Linked DNA regions of Neodiprion lecontei. The protein of the gene in region 1 interacts with the protein of each later gene in a pairwise test. Links are inferred from orthologs where the notes say so. Each region holds a gene or a part of one and is shown in the gene's direction. Other genes may lie near its edges.

Region 1 (7,839 bases):
CGCCTCAGCGAAGCGAGTTCGACTTTATTCCCTTGTTGCATAATGTACAGTTATTTTTCCAGCAGAAACAGATTTTGAATACTTTGTACACGAATTGGTTTATACACATGGCAATAATATGGAAGTACTAATAACAATGATTCTACATCTTATTTTGCACTGATAGGGATGGTTCTTTATCAATCTTTATAATTTTTGCCTTGTTCACAATTAATTTAAGAATCTCATTACATCTACATGATTGATTAAACTCAGTAATCCTTGAGAAATTGGTTGACGAATTATGCTCAGAATGAATTTCAAGAATAGCAATGTATGATACAGGTTTATTCCACCAACAAGTGTGTCACCTTTGAAACAGTATGGAAATTAAATTCACACAGTATGTTGTATCTGTTTGTAAACATGTGATTACAAGGATAAAGTACCTTTGACATTTTTCGACCGGGGGGTGTTTTTATAGTAATTATCTAGAGATGCGTGTGGGTGATTTTGTTCATACGTAGCGAATTATTAAAAATATACAATTATCATTCGCCGATCATGTCAAAAGACGTACAAGAGAGATACAATGATTATTGCAAAAGAAATAAAGCCCCAAAATTGAGCGGTAAGTTTATTTTCACACGATCGGGGACACAATCGTCGCCATAACTGTTGACACAAAAACTGGCAACCTCGGCTCTCGGGTACCGACTACTCAACAAGTACATACGCATCTGATTTTAGACCTGGGTTAGCCCAGCATCTTGTCATTGGCGGAGTCCCAGGGAGGGGATAAACTGGAAACCTCAAATTTGGCCAATAGGGTAATATATAATCCTCTCATTAGGGCTAGTCGAACCGACTGATTGTAGGAATCACAGTAATGAGGCACCCTTACTAAAAGTCGGTTGCAAACAAATTTTCTATCCAAAATCGAACGCAACGGTTTCTGACACTTTAGCATGTATTTTTCTTTCCTCCTACTTCCAATAATCAATTTCTACACGGCTGAAAATGCTGGGAATGAATTCCTCGCAGAACCGTACAGAAAATTCATATCAATCGACATGCTCAAGTCTGTGAAATATCATTACAGCTCATTATTTTTGGCGCCTAGTGGCCCATCAGGATTATCGTGCGCATTGGGTATGAAATCTCTTCTGAAGTTCAACTGATACGCAATAAATTCAAATAAATTATGATGAAAACGAAATTGTAAAAAATCTATTGTACATAAACCGACGTTGTATGATGTTTGACATCTACACCACTAATTAGTGGTCACTCTTGGTAAGGGATGCGGGTTGCCTGCTTTTCGGTTTTGAAATTAAATTCTTTTCAACGTCAACGGCATACAAATCTAGTTAATATCGTAATCATTCAATTTCGTTAGCGACGTTTCATTCGTGTAATAAAATTACTCATCAATTGGAAACCTGTGCTGGCCTACTGCAAACCATATATACATATTATTACTTGTTGATATATAAATACAGCTGGATTAATAAGCATGCAAATAGCAGTATAGTGAAACAATTCATCAATTTATGCTTTAACCTCGTTTACATATCTTATTCAATGTATAATTTTTCGCACGCTCCGCGACTAAGTTTGAACACGCGTCACGTGCGCGCGCCTGGCTGCGTGAACAACAAGGACGGGGGAATTCCCCCATCCTTCTCGGAAATCGTTGACCGGACCACGTGACCAGGGCGGGGAGGAATGATTGGAGCTGATTGGACCGTATCCTCGGGGAAGAACCCGGAGTGCATCCATCAAGGTTATGTCGTTGACGTATGCGAAAAGTATTAGTTAGTTGATAAACGGTGAGTAACACATCCAGGTCTGTAAAGTTGAAATCGAAACGGTCCTTGTTTCTCTCCTTAAAAATAATCACCGCGCTAGTTTCGTCTCTACGTTGCGCTTATGCGCGTGGAGAATAGTTCACGTCTTTTTTGTGCCACGTATAAACTAAGGTATAAACGACGCAGTTTATTTTGATTATAGTGCAATCGGCGCCGCGTTCGCGTAGCAATTACGATTAACCAAAAAGAAAAACAGTACCAAATAAACATGCCGCAAGTTTACGAAAACTTGGACGTCTTCCAGAACTATAATCAACAGGAGGATCAGATTTATCCGTTTCCTGATGGTAATTAGACGAAATTTCTTTTTGAGATTGTGTATCATATTTCCAGGATGCTACTGGGTACAATCTTTCAACCATTTCCTAATTTCATTCTCTTTATTCATATCATTTCTCCAATTTCGCTTCCGTTTGTTCAAATTGATGCTGAAACCTCCGCTATGTTTTCAGTCAATGGTACATATTGTGTTACTTAAATATTTCTGCTGTGATATACTGCAGAAATTTAGAACGGAGATGACTTCAGTTCGATTTGCACTAATGATAAAATTATGCACTTGTAACTTCCCATGTACACATAAACCACTTTTTGACTACCGAAATACGTACGACATATTCATTCGCGCACTGGTGTATATAATCATGCTAACAAACTCTAAATAGTTTCTGGGTTACCAACGTGGAATTTATCAGAATACAAATTGTACAGTTTCTTTATTTGATTTAGGCACAGAGCTGTGATTCATTATTTCAGTAATAAGAGGTGTCGCAATAACATATACCGAGATCCATGATTCCGGTAGTTCAATATTATAAAACCACAATTACCTATGATACCTTTTAATTTTACCAGTTGCCGTACATCTGAACTGAATAGACAAAGTGTACTTCGATCTCCCTTAGCAATCAGTGCAACGCTGATATTTCAATATATCGTGTATACAAGTTTACACTAACTGATTTGTTTATGACAATTCGAAAGAAATGGCCTGTTCACTTGTAACAAGTCGAATAATATCTTAATGGAGAAATTGTGGAATTATTTGACATGTCTTTGTGCAGTTATGATGAATAATCTCAGCCTGTTGAGTCCGAGCAACAGCTCACTGGATTCACAAATGACCAGCAGCACTCCGTCACCGATGTCGATATCACAATCGCCAAACCACACAATGTCATACTATACACTGAGTAATGTAACTGGCACGAGTATGTACATCTTTTTGGTTATTCAATAAATTAATTTCATAATGTTTTATTCAAATGTGATGATATTACGGTACTTGTACCTTCGCAGTGTTGGAAGACCGGTATATAAAAATTATTGAACAACCAGTAGACAAGTTTCGGTTCCGATACAAATCAGAGATGATGGGAACCCACGGGAGTCTTGCTGGCGCCAACAGCTCAAACAGCCGCAAGAAGCAAGCACCTACTGTTGAGGTATAAACAAAATAACAGAGTTTCATTGAATCTGCCTGTTGAAATATTCCAATTCATCGTTTTTGCTATCTTCGTTTAGTCATAAAATAATTATAACTATTTCACTGGTGTTCCAGCTGAAAAATTATCCAGGCAGCGCCGTCATTCGCTGTACGCTTGTAACAGCAGATCCAGATCGTAGGGGACCACATGCTCATCGTCTGGTACGCCGTGTTGGAAATTCAGACGAAGATGATCCGCACGAGCAAAAGGTTTCACCCGAACAAGGTTTTACAGTCTCGTAAGTGAACAGTCTAATTTTTTATTCATAAGACAACAATATTTATCTTCATTATTGTTGGAGTATGTATTCATAAAACTTAAGCTTGTATCTAGGTTCCACGGAATGGGGATCATCCACACTGCTAAAAAGCACATAAAAGATGAGCTTGTTAAAAAGAAAAGAATTACGGCTTTAGAAGAAGCAAAACGCAAAAATGTTAATGTCACATCGTTGACCATCCGCGATGAAGCAACGGTAATAAATTAAATATTGTATAATAATACATTGCCAGTACATTATACAATGTTATTATGCATATCAAATTATTTCGTTCAATTAGCTTACTCAACTTTGAACGCAAAATTTCTGTTAAAGATTAAAATGGAAGCAGAAGCTGCTCAAAAATGGATGAGTCTGAACAGTGTCGCATTATGCTTTCAAGCATTTACCCCAAATGCCAATGGCGTACTTTGTCCCATCACAGAACCAGTGTATTCGAACCCGATTAATAATCTCAGTGAGTAGAAGTGACCATTCATCTATCATTTGGGTACCAGAATTTTTTTATTGCCATTTTTTGTTCTTTTTATTACAGAAAGTGCCCTTACGGGAGAGCTCAAGATATGTAGAATCGACAAAACTGCAGGATCTTGTGATGGTAACGAGGAAGTTTTCATGCTGGTAGAAAAAGTGGGAAAAAGTGAGTATCGTTGTTTATACAACTCGTATTGTAGTTTTAATAAAGATAATATTGAATTGGAAGTGAATTAAGTTCTCTGTTGAAAGATTAATCGAATTAATATTATTGTCCCATATGTATTCAGATTCTCATTCTTATGTTACAGAAAACATCGTAATCAAATTCTTTGAAATGGATGAAAACAATGTAGAAATTTGGAGCGCTTTAGGCCACTTCACAGAGTTAGATGTTCATCATCAATACGCGATAGTGTTTCGGTCAGTTTGAACATTCAATTACTATAAATTAAAAATTGACAGAATATTATCGTATTGTCCCAAATATAAGCCGAGGTTTTTTTTAATCATTGACAGCACCCACCAAAATTGTCCTCGTCTTATATGCGGACCTGTCTTATGTACGGGTAACAGTAAAAAACACCCTGAACTGCTGTCAGAGAATTAAGGGTCGGTTTATATTCGTTTTGTAAATATATCACTTGTGTTTCAGAACGCCACCGTATAAAGACAAAGATATAACTGAACCAAAAGAGGTTTTTATAAAGTTATGCAGACCGACTGACGGAGAGTCTAGCGATCCATTACAGTTCACTTATAAACCCAATAACCGCATCGGTAAGGCGTATTTGCAACATGTACTATCATCAAATATATTCGCTTCCAATTCTCATTCAAAAACATTGACATGTCCTGATTTATGAACAGGTAGAAAGAGACCGCGCATGTCTTGCGAAAGTACTGAATTACAAACTCCTATCGCAATCAATCTCATGCAATCGGATGAAGGCACATCCATTTTCAACGTAAATAATTCAAGTGAAATCAACAAATTGTTGAGTGAGCATTGTACATCAAACGAGTTTCGGGAATACTCTGAAAATCTGGACTTAGAAGGTGAGCACTTAAACACCGAGACACGTGTTTGTTATGCTCGCATGTTTCAAAAATTTTTCCATCAGTATAGACGGTGAATAGATGATGAGTTATATACAAAATGTGTAAATCTTTGTTTATCCCCAGAGTACATCAATTTACTGCCAAAGGAAGTAAATGATAATGAAGAACTGAGATTAGATGGGCCTTTGAAAAAAAAAGTAAGCAACATTTAATTAGTCGTATCAAAATGACAAAGAAGAAACAATTGTATAATGTTTACATGTTTTCAGGAAACGGCTTCGTTTGCGGAGAATATTGTAAAACAAATTCGAATTATACTTCAGAAAAATGATCCAAATGGAAAGGAACGCATACTAGCGTTGCTCAAAGAGCGCACAGTCTATGGAGATTCTCCTCTCCATTCCGCGCTAAGACACGGACAAATGAATTTAGTTAAATATATTCTAATGTTACTTGCAAAGTACCCGGATTTCAAGCAAATTGTCGACTCTCAAACAAGTTCTGGCCGTGTAAGTTTTATTACGATTAACCCGCGGAAATGTAATATTTTCAATTCACTAATATTGCTCTATATTTTAGACATGCTTACATTACGCCGTAGAACAAAACCAACCTGCAGTAACAAAGGCTCTGCTCTTGATTGGGGCGGATGCAAGCGCGTGCGATGATCACGGTTTTTCACCGCTTCACAAGGCGGTCAAAAGTGCGTGAATTGATGAAATAATTTATTCCCAACGAATAAACTAATTGTTTGCATACTAATCGATTATTTGTGTCCCAAACAGTCCCAGAGGCGGGTCACTGTGTGGACGCACTATTAGAAGGAGGAAGTATAAGCGTCGAAACACGAGATGATACTGGCTGGACCGCTCTTCATCTGGCTGCTGAAGCCGGATCGCTACACGCTGTCAAGTCTCTTGTCAAAGCTGGCGTTGATGTTAACAGTACCGATATGTCTTACGGGCGTACAGCACTCCACATCGCCGTCGAAGGTGGCCACAAAGAAATCGTTGAATTCCTGTTAGAAAAGGTAGGTAGTGTTAATTTATATTGTGAAATCAAAATAATCGTTGAAACTCTATTTTATACTTTTTCTGAGCACTTTGTATGTCAATTCTCCACAGACGACAATCGACGTAAATAAGCGGAATTTCAGTGGAAACACCGCGCTGCACAGTGCTGTCGTCAACACCGGCGAACGAGCTGAGGAGCTCTGCAAGCTTCTGTTGAATCACGGGGCGAATCCCTCGATACCTAATAATAATCGCGATTCGTCGAAAGTGAGTTTTTTTATTTTCTAGAAATCTTTTGCGATCAACAAAGCTGTTAAGATCAAAGAGATTATCCTGTTCCTTCGACTGCCGCGAAGACTCGTAGATAATTGTACTGATAATTAAAACAAAAAAATTTCATTTCGTCCTGTTATTAAATTCATAGGAGTTGCAAACAACAACTATAAAAGATGAAGCGATATCCGATGATGAAGATGCCCAGGAAAGTGGTCAAACGTCGTTTGACCTCGCATCAAACAAACCTGAGGTAAATTGGGTTCCTTGAAAAATCGTACGCTTTTGTACGTGTATGGCTACGCACTAAGGTCTCAATGCCACGGAAATAATTACAGATTTTACAATTGCTTTCTGCGACTAATACGATAATAAAACAAGAAATCGAGGACGTACCCGAGGAAAGTGACGGTACTTTGCTGGACGAAAAAGCTATGACTCTTCTAGTTCCCATACTCGACGAATCGAAGGCATGGGAAAAAATCGTCACATCTTTGGGATATGATTTTCTGCAGTCTTCGCTCGAAACTTCAGGCCCCGTCAGTCCATCGCGGATGTTATTAAACTACTTAGACGTAAGTACTTCGATGACTTTATTTATCGTTGGTTTTGTCATACGAATTATATGCAAAAATTTAATAAGCTGTATCTTGTATTATTTTTTTAGATACAAGCTGAAGTTTCGATCAAAAAATTACGAACGTTATTGGTTGAATTAAATGAAACTAAAGCTGTTGATATAATCGATGAGATGATTTTGCGACGGAATACATCAAGTACAAAATGAATTTAACATCAGCAACATATAGCTATTTTAAAATCAGCTAATTACTCCAAAAACTTAATAAGGTAATAATAAAAGCATATCCCAGATTACGTTTGCTATAATTTCGCGTGATTAATGTAAATAGCTGATTAATTGATTACAAAATACCGGTAATATTGAGTATACACTGAGGTTTCGCATTTGTAAGTACAGAAACAGGATATTTTAATTTAATAAGAATGTAAAATTTATATATGCCAGAGTGAGGACTATAGATTGAACTTTGAACATTTTTCCAAGTCATAGTTTTTATAATTCTGAACCAATCGATGTTTCTTTTAGCTGATAAATTATTATTTTACTACATAAAATAGCTGTTTGTGTATAATTTTACTGTCAACGTATATCAACATTATTATAACTCTCTTATTATTATTACATATCTGAAAAAAGATGGTCAGAAGAATTTGCATTTAACTTCAAAATATATAAACCTGCCATTTAATATAGCATGTAAGTATTTTATCATTTTGAATCATACACCAACGTTCGAAATTACGTATACCATTCTAATTATGTAAGAAATGCATGAATCTTATCTATGATTGATGTACAGAAAACGTTAAACCGCCGT
Region 2 (6,793 bases), on another chromosome or scaffold:
TTACCGTCCGAGCAAACTCATACCTTTTCTTCGTATATTAAATAAACAGAAGGGGTTCAAGTCTCGACGGTGCATCATTCTTTCGTAGCGGAATTCAGGAATGTTACTCGTATTCCAAAAATCATCAAAAACGTGATTTTTTTAAACATTTTACTATTTCAACATTTCTCGCATCTCAGGGGCCAAAAAGTGCATGGTTGAGATACTTTCCGCAATTCCGGCAAGAATGAGAAATAAAATGAGACATCGCAAGACTGCTTTCATGCAATATTAAGGCCGCTCAACGAAAACTAGGATTTACGGTAATTTTGTAGATAAAAGACGCTCTCATGCTGTGCTGGGGCGACCATACCAACCAAGGAACTTCGCGCCCAGCTGATCGCTAGAGCATTTTTTATTTACGAAATTATTTGTATCCCTAGTTTTCGTATAGCGACTTCAATATTACATGAAAACAGTCTCACGATGGCTTATTTTAGTCCTCATCCTTTCTAGAATTGCGGAAGGTATCTCAACTGTGCACTTATTGGCCCTTGAAATGCGGGAACTGTTTAAATAGTAACGTGTTTCAAAAAACCACTCATCTATTTAATGCTTTTCAAGATATGAGTAACATTTTTGAATTCCGCCATGAAAGAGCGATGCATCGTCGAAACTTCAAGCCTTTCCGTTCATTTGTTGATTTAATATTGGAAAAAAAGGGATGAGTTTGCTTGGTCGGTAAGGGTAGGCTGTCACAGGACCTTAAATTAAAGATTGAAATGATTTTTTGTAACAATACAGTTCCTCACAGGCCTTTGTAAAACAATAAATGATCTTCAAATTTATCACATGCAAATCATTTTATATTTTAAATATGTCGTACGGAAACTTATATTGATTTTGTTCCTGTAGGGCTGAATTTGCACAAGGTTGTTAAAGAAATTTTTATCATGAAGATACGTACAATTCTACGGCCTAGACTATCAACAGACCGTATGGCCTAATGGATAAGGCGTCGGACTTCGGATCCGAAGATTGCAGGTTCGAGTCCTGTTACGGTCGAGGCAAGTTTTTTAGTTCTTCAAACAGTGTTTTCACACAAGTAAATTGTGCAGCACATTCGAAAAATTCAGATTATCGTTTCAAAATCGATCCTGCAAATCCTAAAAGATTCGAAGAAGTTTGTTTTGCAAATCGATGAAAATTCAAATTATCCTTGAGCGGATGTCAATTTATCGCGCATTTTTTCAGCGTTCTATTTTCATTTTTAACTCTGCCCAGTTTCGAAATCTATTCTTTGCATTTGCAAGCATCATTCTCTGCAGTCAGTTGGTCGAGATATGATTTTTTGCCATTCCGTGCATCTTTAACGCGTGCGTGCAATTTGCGTCAGTCACGTGCGACAGCTGACAGCTGCATCTGCATACCACGTGACTATTGCCGGCGCTGCCGTAGGCTGAATATCGAATGAACCGTTTCGATCGGCCACCCCTGCCCTTCCTTATCGATGCAGCTGCGTCGTGACGCACGATGCAACGGCTCGACCAATGAGAAAACGCGGAGAGATGACCAATGGCAGACTAGGCTAGGTAAACGTTATGGAAAATGTTCAAGTCGCTGCGGCTGACGAAGTGACGACGGAGGAGGCCATATTGTTTTACTGCAGTGTTTGTTTTGGTGCTGCGGTGGCCAGTCTTAAAATCCAGTTGAATCAGCCTGGAAACTTGTCGAAAGTCTTCGACGAGACCGCTAAACGAAAAGGGAATACTGTGCAATTTGTAGTACCGATATATTTTCGGGAAATAAAACGCCTTTTGCGGTTCCTCGGCGATTTTTTGGTGTCAGTCGCGTACGAGACTGTGAAGAGTAAAAATGGCCTGCGCCACCCTGAAGCGATCACTCGAGTTCGACCCCGTTCACAGCCACGTAAGGCCTTCGAAGAGGCGAAGATGCGTACCGATGTGCATGTCGCCAAACACACCGCCGGCGAGGAATCAGAACCCATCAGCTTTCGGCGAAGTTACACAAAAATTGACGCCTGGTAATTATATTCGGCCATTTTTTTTTTTATCACGGGGTGTTAAAGGGGGAAGCTAGCTGCAAACGTAGATGTATAGCGATTTAAAACCCGTATATACTATGGCCGGAGGCGTGAAGTGGGGTGAGGGGAGCGCAAATCATATGGAGATACCGACGTAACGGTCGCTGCTGATTTTCACTATTTTTACAAACAGCTTTCAAACTGGTTTTCCTCCACTCATCGCGCAATTTGAAATATACGTTAGAATGACCGTTTTTCTTCACAAAGTTTTTTCTCATTCGACAATTCCCCTCATCACCTCGGTGTTCAAACGCGCTTCTATGTCACTAAAAAAAAATTCCCCATTGTGTGAGTTTTGCGTACCCAGGCATTATTTCATTCAATAATGTCGAAGTTCGAAACGGGAGAAAAAGGACCAAGCCGAATCGTATGTTTGTAATCTTCATTTACGTATTCATCAGACATAATATTAGCATTTCCATGCTCAGTCTGATGCGTTACCACGAATCTATTGAAAATACCCATCAAAATTCGACCACCGTAAAGGCAGACTATTGCAACTTTACTATTTGCATAACTGTGAAAATTTTGAATGAATGCATGGAGTTTGTTACTCAACTTGTACATTTACATGAGAACTAAGCCTTCTTACTAACCTCTTTCAGCCATTACCAATAACTTGGAAATGATGTTGCAAAGACCTAATATTGTTTCGGTTTTCTTATTTATTATTTTCAAGTAATTTCACAATCCGTTATTTGAACATCATCAATCAAAACAATGCCTGGTTGCAATTGTGATTGCGATCCGTCAGGCTTGGTTATTCAGTCTAAGAAACTGAGGTCAGGTATCTGAATTGTTTACACCAATGCCGTAAAATGTTTTCATAGAAAAAATGGCTGCCAATATTAGAGAAGAGATCCGCAGGCTTCACCGGCGCAAGCAGCTGCATTTCAACCCGCAAAACAACAATGGTGGAGATTCTTCAGATACTGAAGGTCCAGCCAGTCCATCGACTAGTGGGCCTAGTGCTTACAGTCATAGCCCAAGCGGCAAAGAAAAACCACTGTTCACATTTAGACAGGTGGGTGTATTTTCAAAATAAAGAATGAATGGATATCGACATAATTGTGAGATCGTTTATTTGCTACAAATAATGGTTAACCAACTTGTGTTTAGGTGGGATTGATCTGCGAGCGGATGCTGAAGGAACAGGAGACGCAGATCCGAGAAGAATATGACCAGATTCTCAACATGAAGCTCTCCGAGCAGTATGACGCATTCGTTAAGTTCACCTATGATCAGATTCAGAAGAGATTTGAATCTGCGGCTGCACCGAGTTGTGAGTTATTGAATACTTGGAAACTTGTAAACTTGTAAACTCCTGATTTCAAGACTGGTGACTCACATGCATTGTGTTTTTTCTAATGTTTGATAAATTTGTAGATTTGTCCTAAAGGAGATTTGCCACTTCCACGGATGTGTTTCTTCAAAGAACGTTAGGTAAGTATCCTAGCATGTATATTCTGTAAAGTTGAATCGTGACTTTACATGATAATCGTCTAGGTAATGCGGCGAATGATTCAATTGTTATTGTCAAAAGATACTCTAGTGGTTTTCTCATTACAGATTTCTATGATATAAGTGAGAAAATAATTTTGCTTGGAGTTATGAGGGAAGAAATGCGCGGTGATGTTACCTCGCTGTGGAGACATGGGTTGATTAAATTTGAAAAGTAATTTCATTCGAAGTATAAAATAAACAGATGCAACAAAAAACATAATTAAATAATTTAACAAAAATATCAATAAATAAAAACATTTCAAAAAAGGTAATGAGGTGTGCGTATATATATATATATGTGTGTGTGTACCCTGACATATATGTATATATATGCGTATATAGGAAAGTAAGTTATAGAAGTAGGCTCACTTGCGGAGAGCGACCAGACTAAAAAAAATCGACAACGTATACTACTAAATTAACCATATTTGTACCATCCGGTTTTCAAAGTACGCTGTTATCAGGGAATCAAATAGAAAATTTACAAAGCTAAAGTAGCACAAGTATAAAAGTATTTGTAAATAAATTGCATACATGTGATCTGGTATTGATACTACATACACCGTGGTGGTGTGAATTTCCTACTCTTCGAATTTCCTGAAACCAATTTTTGCAAATCAACTGTAAAGCCTCTCGATAAGGATCTGATTACATACGATCGATTGTAACATCAATTTCTCCCAACTGATCCACAACAATTAGTAACGTACGGAATAAGATTGGTGGTGGTCAGAGTTACTTTGAATATCGATCAATGATGTGAAATCTAAGGTGTAACGTGATTTATTGATTTCGTCAGTCCCGATGAAATTTCTCTTGCAACAATTGATTATGTTATAATCATTTTCTAATATTTTTATTTCTCTACTCTCGCAATTATAATAACAAGTAAAATCTGCATATTTGGATGGTGATATATAGGTATATACGTTTTTGTAATGCTATGTTATTAGGTCAATCTCAAAATTATAAAGAATGTATTTTTTAACGAATATATTCCCTTATTTCGGGGTATTGCATTCATACTTTTATTAGAGCTTTTAATTTGTCATCTTGACCTTTCCCTCTTTAAACAAAAGTTTTCTGCTGGTAGATAAATTTTTCATCCTTGCTTTATTTTTTCTCTTTGATTTTTCCTTCTTATTGAAATGTAGCATTTATAAGTGTATTCTTAAATTATACGCGTTTGAAGAAGTAGAAAATTTATAAAAAGAACTGTGCACCATGCTAGGGCGAAAATTCAAAAAGAACTGATACTGTTTTCACATTATTGTCATTATTATTATTATTATTATTATTACTACTATTATTGTTGTTGTTATAATTTTTTCCCTGACAACAGCAACTTGCCATAGCATAATGAAATTAAATGCAGAATAATGAATATACATACTATTACCCATACATTTACTGTGCCTATTATTAGACATATTTATTACAATTACCCAACACTGCTATAATTATTACTTATTACTATTCATCGTAATTAAAAAAAAAAGAAAAATAATATTGGAAAAAAAAATTATTTTTAGTTGATAATGATTCTACATATGCGATGTTCGTTTTTTTTCTTTTTTACGTATACATACTATTCATATATATAGGTATAAATTAGGCGCATAATTGTCTCAAGATGAATCCGATAATGATAGTTCGTCTTGGTTACCATATATATTTCTCTGCTATTCACGCCGTTCAACAATTGAACGAAAGATGAATTCTAAGTATCAAGGAAGAGACTTAGCAAAAGAGTATGAGGAGTTTATGAAAACAGTTATTTTTTTTTTGTTGAATGAAAATTTAAGGAGCCGTGCTTCGTTATTTGCCAAATTGAAATTCGTTAAGTTTTATTCGTTCGATCAACAGATACTTGAAACTAGTTGACTGGAGAACAAAAAGTAGTTAAATACAATTCGCCAATAATATTTGAATTTTGGGGCGTAGTGACGACCTTGTTATTCAATACCAGGCAAGAATGCCACATCTTCTGATCTTATTACTGTATTTAGTTCAAGTGATAGCATAGTAACTTTTGTTGAGCTAAGAAAAACTTGTGGAACGAGAAACACTGCGATCCTTTGAAAAACGACTCGTATTTATCGTAGTACAACAAGGGATTAAATACTTGTACAATTATCTTATTACTCCTGCAAGACTATGCTGAAAACCAGATAAACTGTCATAGCTATTGTAAAACCTTAGGTAATAAATGTAAATTAATGATTGTGTAAGTCTTGAAATCAACAAAAGTTATTGCGCGAACTGTACGTTATAATAATTTTAATATTAAGAAACGTAAATAAATAAAAAAATGGAAATTGTACGTAGTATTTCGTCAAGCAGCATAAATGTATCCTGATGACAAGGAAGAATAAGTTACAATATTGTGAAGAGAAAAAAAATTATGAATGATGTATAAATATGGAAGGGAAAAACAAAACGAAAAAAAAAAACAAAAAGAAATACAAATAAATTTAGTTAGTATATTGAATAATGAATAATACCTAATACTAATGATTAATAATGATTATATTAAGAAGCAACGATGAAGAAAACAGCTAAGGTAAATTCCTTGGGAGAAATCAGGGAAGATTTGATTTCAATGATTAAAAATACCTCCATATTAATATTATGTAAACACTTATTAATGAAATAAATATAAACCTTAAGACTGATCTTTATCTGACTATCTATAAATAATTCCACATCCACTTTTGCTATGCTTCTATTTGTATAAAAATTTTAGCCCGCTCTTGTAAAACGTTCCAACGCAAATAATCAATGTAGATCTAATTATCAATAGAAATTCGATTTCGAATCGTTTCACCCCTCTAAACACGGCTTGAAATACTGAAGTATGATCTTAATGAAAGTAGCTCTAGTTCTTAGTTCACTGAAGAGTACTTTAACTATTCTAAGATACTGTTGTCGCAGACTCTGAAGAATGGAGAAAGAAATTGTCATAGAATGGGATGGAAGACGTCACAAAGCGAGCCAATTTCTTGAAATTCCTATATTCCGATCCTGTTAAGAGACTTATTCAATAGTATAATCGCATTAGTCTGGATATGGCTTCGTAGTAAGAAGCCCCATTAGATCTATAAGAGTAGATGTACGTCAGAAGGCCTCCGTCACTTCTGGGCGGGAAACAACGCTCGGTTACACAGATTCTTTACAGTCCGACACTATCGGTCAAATGTTTCCTCT
Region 3 (4,789 bases), about 37 Mb from region 1:
AATTGTTCGCGATTGTAGTTGAACTACATGTACATATGTACAAATATACCGATTGTTGTATACGCGTGCAATTGAAAATTTTCTATACAAATGGAATATACAATTCTACGCGAATTACAACACATCTACAATATCGCGTACCTATACAGCGTTTACGTAGGTATTATAGATATACGTGTGATACGAAGTTGTGTTACAGTCCGCAGCGTCGGATCGGAGGAGCTGTATACCTACTCTGCAGCCTCCGGTATTTATCTCTATATCCTCTCTACCCCTTGGGTGCGCACCTATGTGTAAAAGTGTTTTTATTTGTATATTTTTTTTTTTCTCTTTCCTTCCATCGCGTCGTTCTTGTTTCTCTTATTCAATTTTATTTCTGTTTTAATATTACACGTACACGTGTATATATATATATATACATATATATACATATATAGGTATACCGTATACCTCTTATCGTTTACTTTTTTATATTATACATGTATACGTATTACACGCACACACAGTCGCCAGGCACGGTTGCGCGCGTATTAGGTTATACATCTCGCTTCGTCTTTTAATTTTGTCCGACGTCGTGCGTTCTTATTTTTACTCTTTCGATAACCCTTCCCCCCCCCTCCCTATCGCCCCCGTCCCGCCGCCGTCTCCCCCGCCTTTTTATCCCCCCACTCCGCCTCTCACCCCACCCACTATATAGCTGCTATACGGTGAACGTCTCGCGCGCAAGGAAGAAAATTTCTACCGCCCGCGCGCGCTAGCGTGCGCGCGTGTGTGTGTCTGTAGTAACGATGTGTAATACACGCGTATAGGTGCGTATTGTAACGCACATGGATTCGAGGTATCTTCGTCTACGGTCGGCGGAGCTGTACCACGCGGTTATCCTCGTCAAGAGATGTGAGCCGCGGTGCCGAGATGAGAGACGGAGGATACAATAAAATAATGCCCCTTTGGTCCCCGCGGCGGTCGGTTGTCTTCTCTCCCTCTCCCTCTCTCTCTCTCTCTCTTTCTCTCCTCCTCCTCCTCCTCCTCCTCCTTCAACGAACAGAGCGGACCGACCGCGTTCGTTCGTTAGCTCGACGACTCTCGACGCCCGCGTCTTTGGATATCCTTACCAGTTTCCTCCTCGATATCCGCACCGCGGCGGCATGCATCGCACGCAGGCGTTTCGTACCCGTCATATCTTGCGCCGTTTCACGACCGCCGTCCACCGCCTGCTTCAAGCCCGACCTCAGCGTTTTCGTCCTGCGGCTCACGGGGATCCGCAGCTCTCTGTATTGGTGAACGCGTGAACCTCCGTCTCTCCCACCACTCCGTTCTGCCCATCGCACGCACTCCTCCGAGTTCCTCTCCTCCTCGTCGGGCGCGGCTGCCGGGCTACCTGAACGCTGCCGCTGCCGCTGCTGTTGCAGCGCGTCGATTCTCGTCTCCGCCGCAGCCTCCGGGCCCGATTCTCTCTCACTCTCCGTTCTCCCTCTCTCTCTGTTTTCCTCTTTTTCTCTCTTTCTCCTTCTCGACCTGCGCGGAGGGGTGAGTGGGAGAAACACCGCGACGGGATTAATGCCTAGAGGTAGGAAGGAGGGCGGCGGCGGCGGCGGCGGAGCGAGAGGAGCGAGTCGCGGGGTGGCGGTAGCGGGCGGGGGGGGGGGGGGGGGGGGGAGGAGGTGGAGAGGAGAGGAGAGGAGAGGGCCGGGATGCTGGGCGGCCATATTGCCTCTCCCGAGAGAAGAGACTCCGGCGAGGTCCTCCGAGCAGCGTTCCTTCGGTTATACGTGTTCCCTGTGTAGCCACCAGCTCACGATCAGCGGCCCCAACTTTGGTGTGGAATATACAAGCCCAGGCTGGCCTCCGCAGTCCGGCAGGACGCTGGTAGTCACACATCCACTCATCCAGCCTCTGGATCATCGTCTGACTCGCTCCTCCGTTAACGGGCGAACATTACGAAAAACGCGCCAGGATTAAATATACGCGTTGTATACACTTGATCTACGCGAAAATACCTAATCACGCGGTTCCCTGCACGTCTAATATACACAGATCGTATATACAACATCATTGTATCGACCATCCTACGCGTGCAACCGCGCGTGCCTGTGTGTGTGTACGTGTGTATGTGTATGTGCTTGTGTGTGTGTGTATATACATATATATATATATGTATGTATGTATAATGCCTTGTGTCATCTGTGTACATTTATAACTGTCTCTAAACTTGTCCGCGGGTGCGTCGCCGATCAATCGATGTATAAACACCTCGTCTACGTTATACCGTACGCTGTACGCATCGACGTATCTCGTACATGCAATTCCTGCGGTATACATACACGTGGACTATAGCTACGCGTGTGTGTGTGTGTGTTATTCGTATAAAAACCGCGCGTGCATTATTGTATATATATATATACATACATATACGGTTGTAATGCCTGCAGTGGAAGAAAGGAATAAATTATACCTGTGTTAAAAGTGTCGTTTGATTTTGAAGGGGAATAATCGTCGTAACGACGACGACAACAGCAACAACAACAACAACGACAACAACAACAGAGCATCGTTAACAAAGATAACAATAACAATAATAATAATAAAAGAAACGAGATAACAAAAAAAGAAAAAAAAAAGGAACTAAACTATAATGTTCTTATTGTTCTTGTTGTTCTTTATGCCGCAGCAGTACTGTACCTCGTTCAATTTTGACACGTAAAGAAACAAGAAAAAATAAAAACAAACAAACAACAATCTCACGGCGGGAGTAATAATTGTGTTAAAGTGACATATGCGTAGAGAGAGAGAGAGAGAGAGAGATAGATAGAGAGAGGAAAGTTGGATCTGCAACGCCTCGTGCAATATACGCGTATTATACATATATACATGTATACCAGTAAGCGTGCGGCAGAGTTATCGCACGCGTGAAACGCGGACAGCTGATAATAATTGGGCCTTACTGCGAAATTGAACGCGGGGCCGCGAAAGGTGCGCGACGATATTGCACTTGAGTGCAGTGCGGCGGCAGCAGCAGCAGCAGCCTGGATGAACGATTAAGAACGGGCCCGGTATAGCTAAGCGTGAGAGAAGAAACCGCGGAGATGTGATCCAGAGACTGGGAGATAGCCGGTAGTTTGTAGTTCACCTATCCCACGAACATGCAGCCTCCCGTCTGCATCAGCATCCCAGCCGAGAGGAATCACACCTTCGATCTTAACTAAATGCAACCCAAACGAGTGAGTACCTTTACACCTTATACCGTACATTGTTATTTTATATTATATATCCTGCGACGCATTGAAACTAGCGTGGGTAATATTTTAACGAAGATCAGTAATTGTATAGCCGCGGACTTACGGAGCGACGATCCAGCGCCCTCTTCGATTCACATCACACGATATTATTGTTTCTGTCCATAGCATGTTACGAAAATATGATGCGTAGTTTTACTTTTCCACCTTGTATCCAGATACTAACATCGTACACTGATACCTGCAGCCTCTCGGTCACGTACGTTTATTTTTTATTTTTTCAAATAAATTCCAACTCTCTATCACCAGCTAATTATCCCGGACTCGGATACACCGCGTCTCTTTATCCGTTCCTCGGTCCGATCACGTGACACCTTTACCATCGCACAACATCGAGGAAGAATCGAACGTACCAGATACGGCTGAAGATCGATCGAATTCCATGCGCGCAATTAGACGACCAGTAGTATGTTTATACACACATATACGTATACATGCATACATATATGTATATATATATATATATATATATATATATATATGACGGTAAATCGCAAGAGGTAGAAAAGTCAGGTCCGAAGGATGCTTGCAAACTTTTTGGCACTGTGCGGTAGTCGTTTTACGCGGGGAGGGTCCGACACTCGGTGGTACCAGGAGCAATTGGTGACACTGCACTGTTGGTAAACGCGAGCGGGCAAGTCCGGAGCTTCTGGTTCTTCGGCACACTGTCCATCCTCCGTTTGTTGAGCTGCCGCTGGTTGAGAGGCAACGACGTCGGCCGCGGTCGCGGTCGCGGTGGCGAGGGCGTACCTGAGCTCCGTTACCTATACTTGAAATACAAACAGGCGCAAGAGGTGGGCCCACAACCTGACGCAGGGTCCCTTTCGGAATCAGGTTAGACCGGCCTAACCTGCTCCTCGCTCGCACGCGGCTTTGTATAATCTATGGTGCTGCAACACCACCCGCCACTCGGTCCCCCTCCGATCTTTTTCTCGTTCTCTCTTCCTCGATCGGTAGCATTTAACAGTTCGCACCGCGATCCTAGGCTCCTCGTCGATCTCGTCTCTCCCTCTCTCTTTCCCTCCGCATCAGCCGATCTTCACCGGCAGTCAATATCCTCCTCGCCTTCCTTCCTCATTGTCCCGACCGGCGGGCCGCAGGTGCATACCTGATTCCCGGTCGATCCACGTCCTCCTCTACCTGCACCGACGGGTCCCCGTGCCCGGCCCCCCCCCCCCCCCCCCCCCCCCGCCCCGCGTGAGTTGTTACCGATTTTCGGAGTAGGCCAAACGAAACCTGCGGAGGTGAAACCTGTTGGGTCCGAGACCAGTTCCGAGGCTGCAGGGAGAAGAAGATCGTGTAACTCGAATTGTATGGATCGGGAGGGGAAAAAGACGAGATCGGACGATCGCTGACGAGTCCTTGTAATACCTACGATGTGTCTTGCCAACCGAGTGAACCCAGGTCAATGTCTCTTTTCCTTGTTCTCTTTCCGCAGATCTCTTCCTCCAACGTGCCATACATTCTTCAGCAGCCTGTGATACAAGACTTGAAAC

What was found.
Region 2: the proteins of nuclear factor NF-kappa-B p105 subunit (region 1) and akirin-2 interact in binary tests that used the Drosophila melanogaster proteins (3 or more experiments, as listed by UniProt). The link is inferred for Neodiprion lecontei from reciprocal best matches to the Drosophila melanogaster genes Rel and akirin.
Region 3: the proteins of nuclear factor NF-kappa-B p105 subunit (region 1) and protein grainyhead interact in binary tests that used the Drosophila melanogaster proteins (3 or more experiments, as listed by UniProt). The link is inferred for Neodiprion lecontei from reciprocal best matches to the Drosophila melanogaster genes Rel and grh.

Annotation. Positions count from the first base shown.
Region 1 is NC_060260.1:2,031,101-2,038,939, reverse strand, and holds the start of nuclear factor NF-kappa-B p105 subunit, read left to right. Parts: upstream 1-1,720; 5' UTR 1,721-1,811; intron 1,812-1,992; 5' UTR 1,993-2,058; coding exon 2,059-2,137; intron 2,138-2,914; coding exon 2,915-3,061; intron 3,062-3,149; coding exon 3,150-3,295; intron 3,296-3,411; coding exon 3,412-3,575; intron 3,576-3,670; coding exon 3,671-3,812; intron 3,813-3,932; coding exon 3,933-4,074; intron 4,075-4,152; coding exon 4,153-4,257; intron 4,258-4,402; coding exon 4,403-4,514; intron 4,515-4,746; coding exon 4,747-4,871; intron 4,872-4,961; coding exon 4,962-5,150; intron 5,151-5,276; coding exon 5,277-5,350; intron 5,351-5,422; coding exon 5,423-5,662; intron 5,663-5,732; coding exon 5,733-5,856; intron 5,857-5,938; coding exon 5,939-6,183; intron 6,184-6,277; coding exon 6,278-6,433; intron 6,434-6,590; coding exon 6,591-6,692; intron 6,693-6,777; coding exon 6,778-7,014; intron 7,015-7,106; coding exon 7,107-7,226; 3' UTR 7,227-7,839. Other genes in the region: protein BCL9 homolog, read right to left, coding at 429-437. UniProt on the Drosophila melanogaster protein: Transcription factor that plays a key role in the humoral immune response as part of the peptidoglycan recognition protein (IMD) signaling pathway.
Region 2 is NC_060263.1:15,142,494-15,149,286, reverse strand, and holds akirin-2, read left to right. Parts: upstream 1-1,603; 5' UTR 1,604-1,854; coding exon 1,855-2,023; intron 2,024-2,913; coding exon 2,914-3,107; intron 3,108-3,202; coding exon 3,203-3,365; intron 3,366-3,469; coding exon 3,470-3,480; 3' UTR 3,481-3,526; intron 3,527-3,652; 3' UTR 3,653-6,267; downstream 6,268-6,793. Other genes in the region: arrestin homolog, read left to right, coding at 6,783-6,793. UniProt on the Drosophila melanogaster protein: Molecular adapter that acts as a bridge between a variety of multiprotein complexes, and which is required for embryonic development and for normal innate immune response.
Region 3 is NC_060260.1:39,038,017-39,042,805, reverse strand, and holds the start of protein grainyhead, read left to right. Parts: upstream 1-1,714; 5' UTR 1,715-3,218; intron 3,219-4,731; 5' UTR 4,732-4,789. UniProt on the Drosophila melanogaster protein: Transcription factor that binds a CNS-specific regulatory element of the Dopa decarboxylase (Ddc) gene. Also interacts with sequences adjacent to other transcription units, including Ultrabithorax (Ubx) and engrailed (en).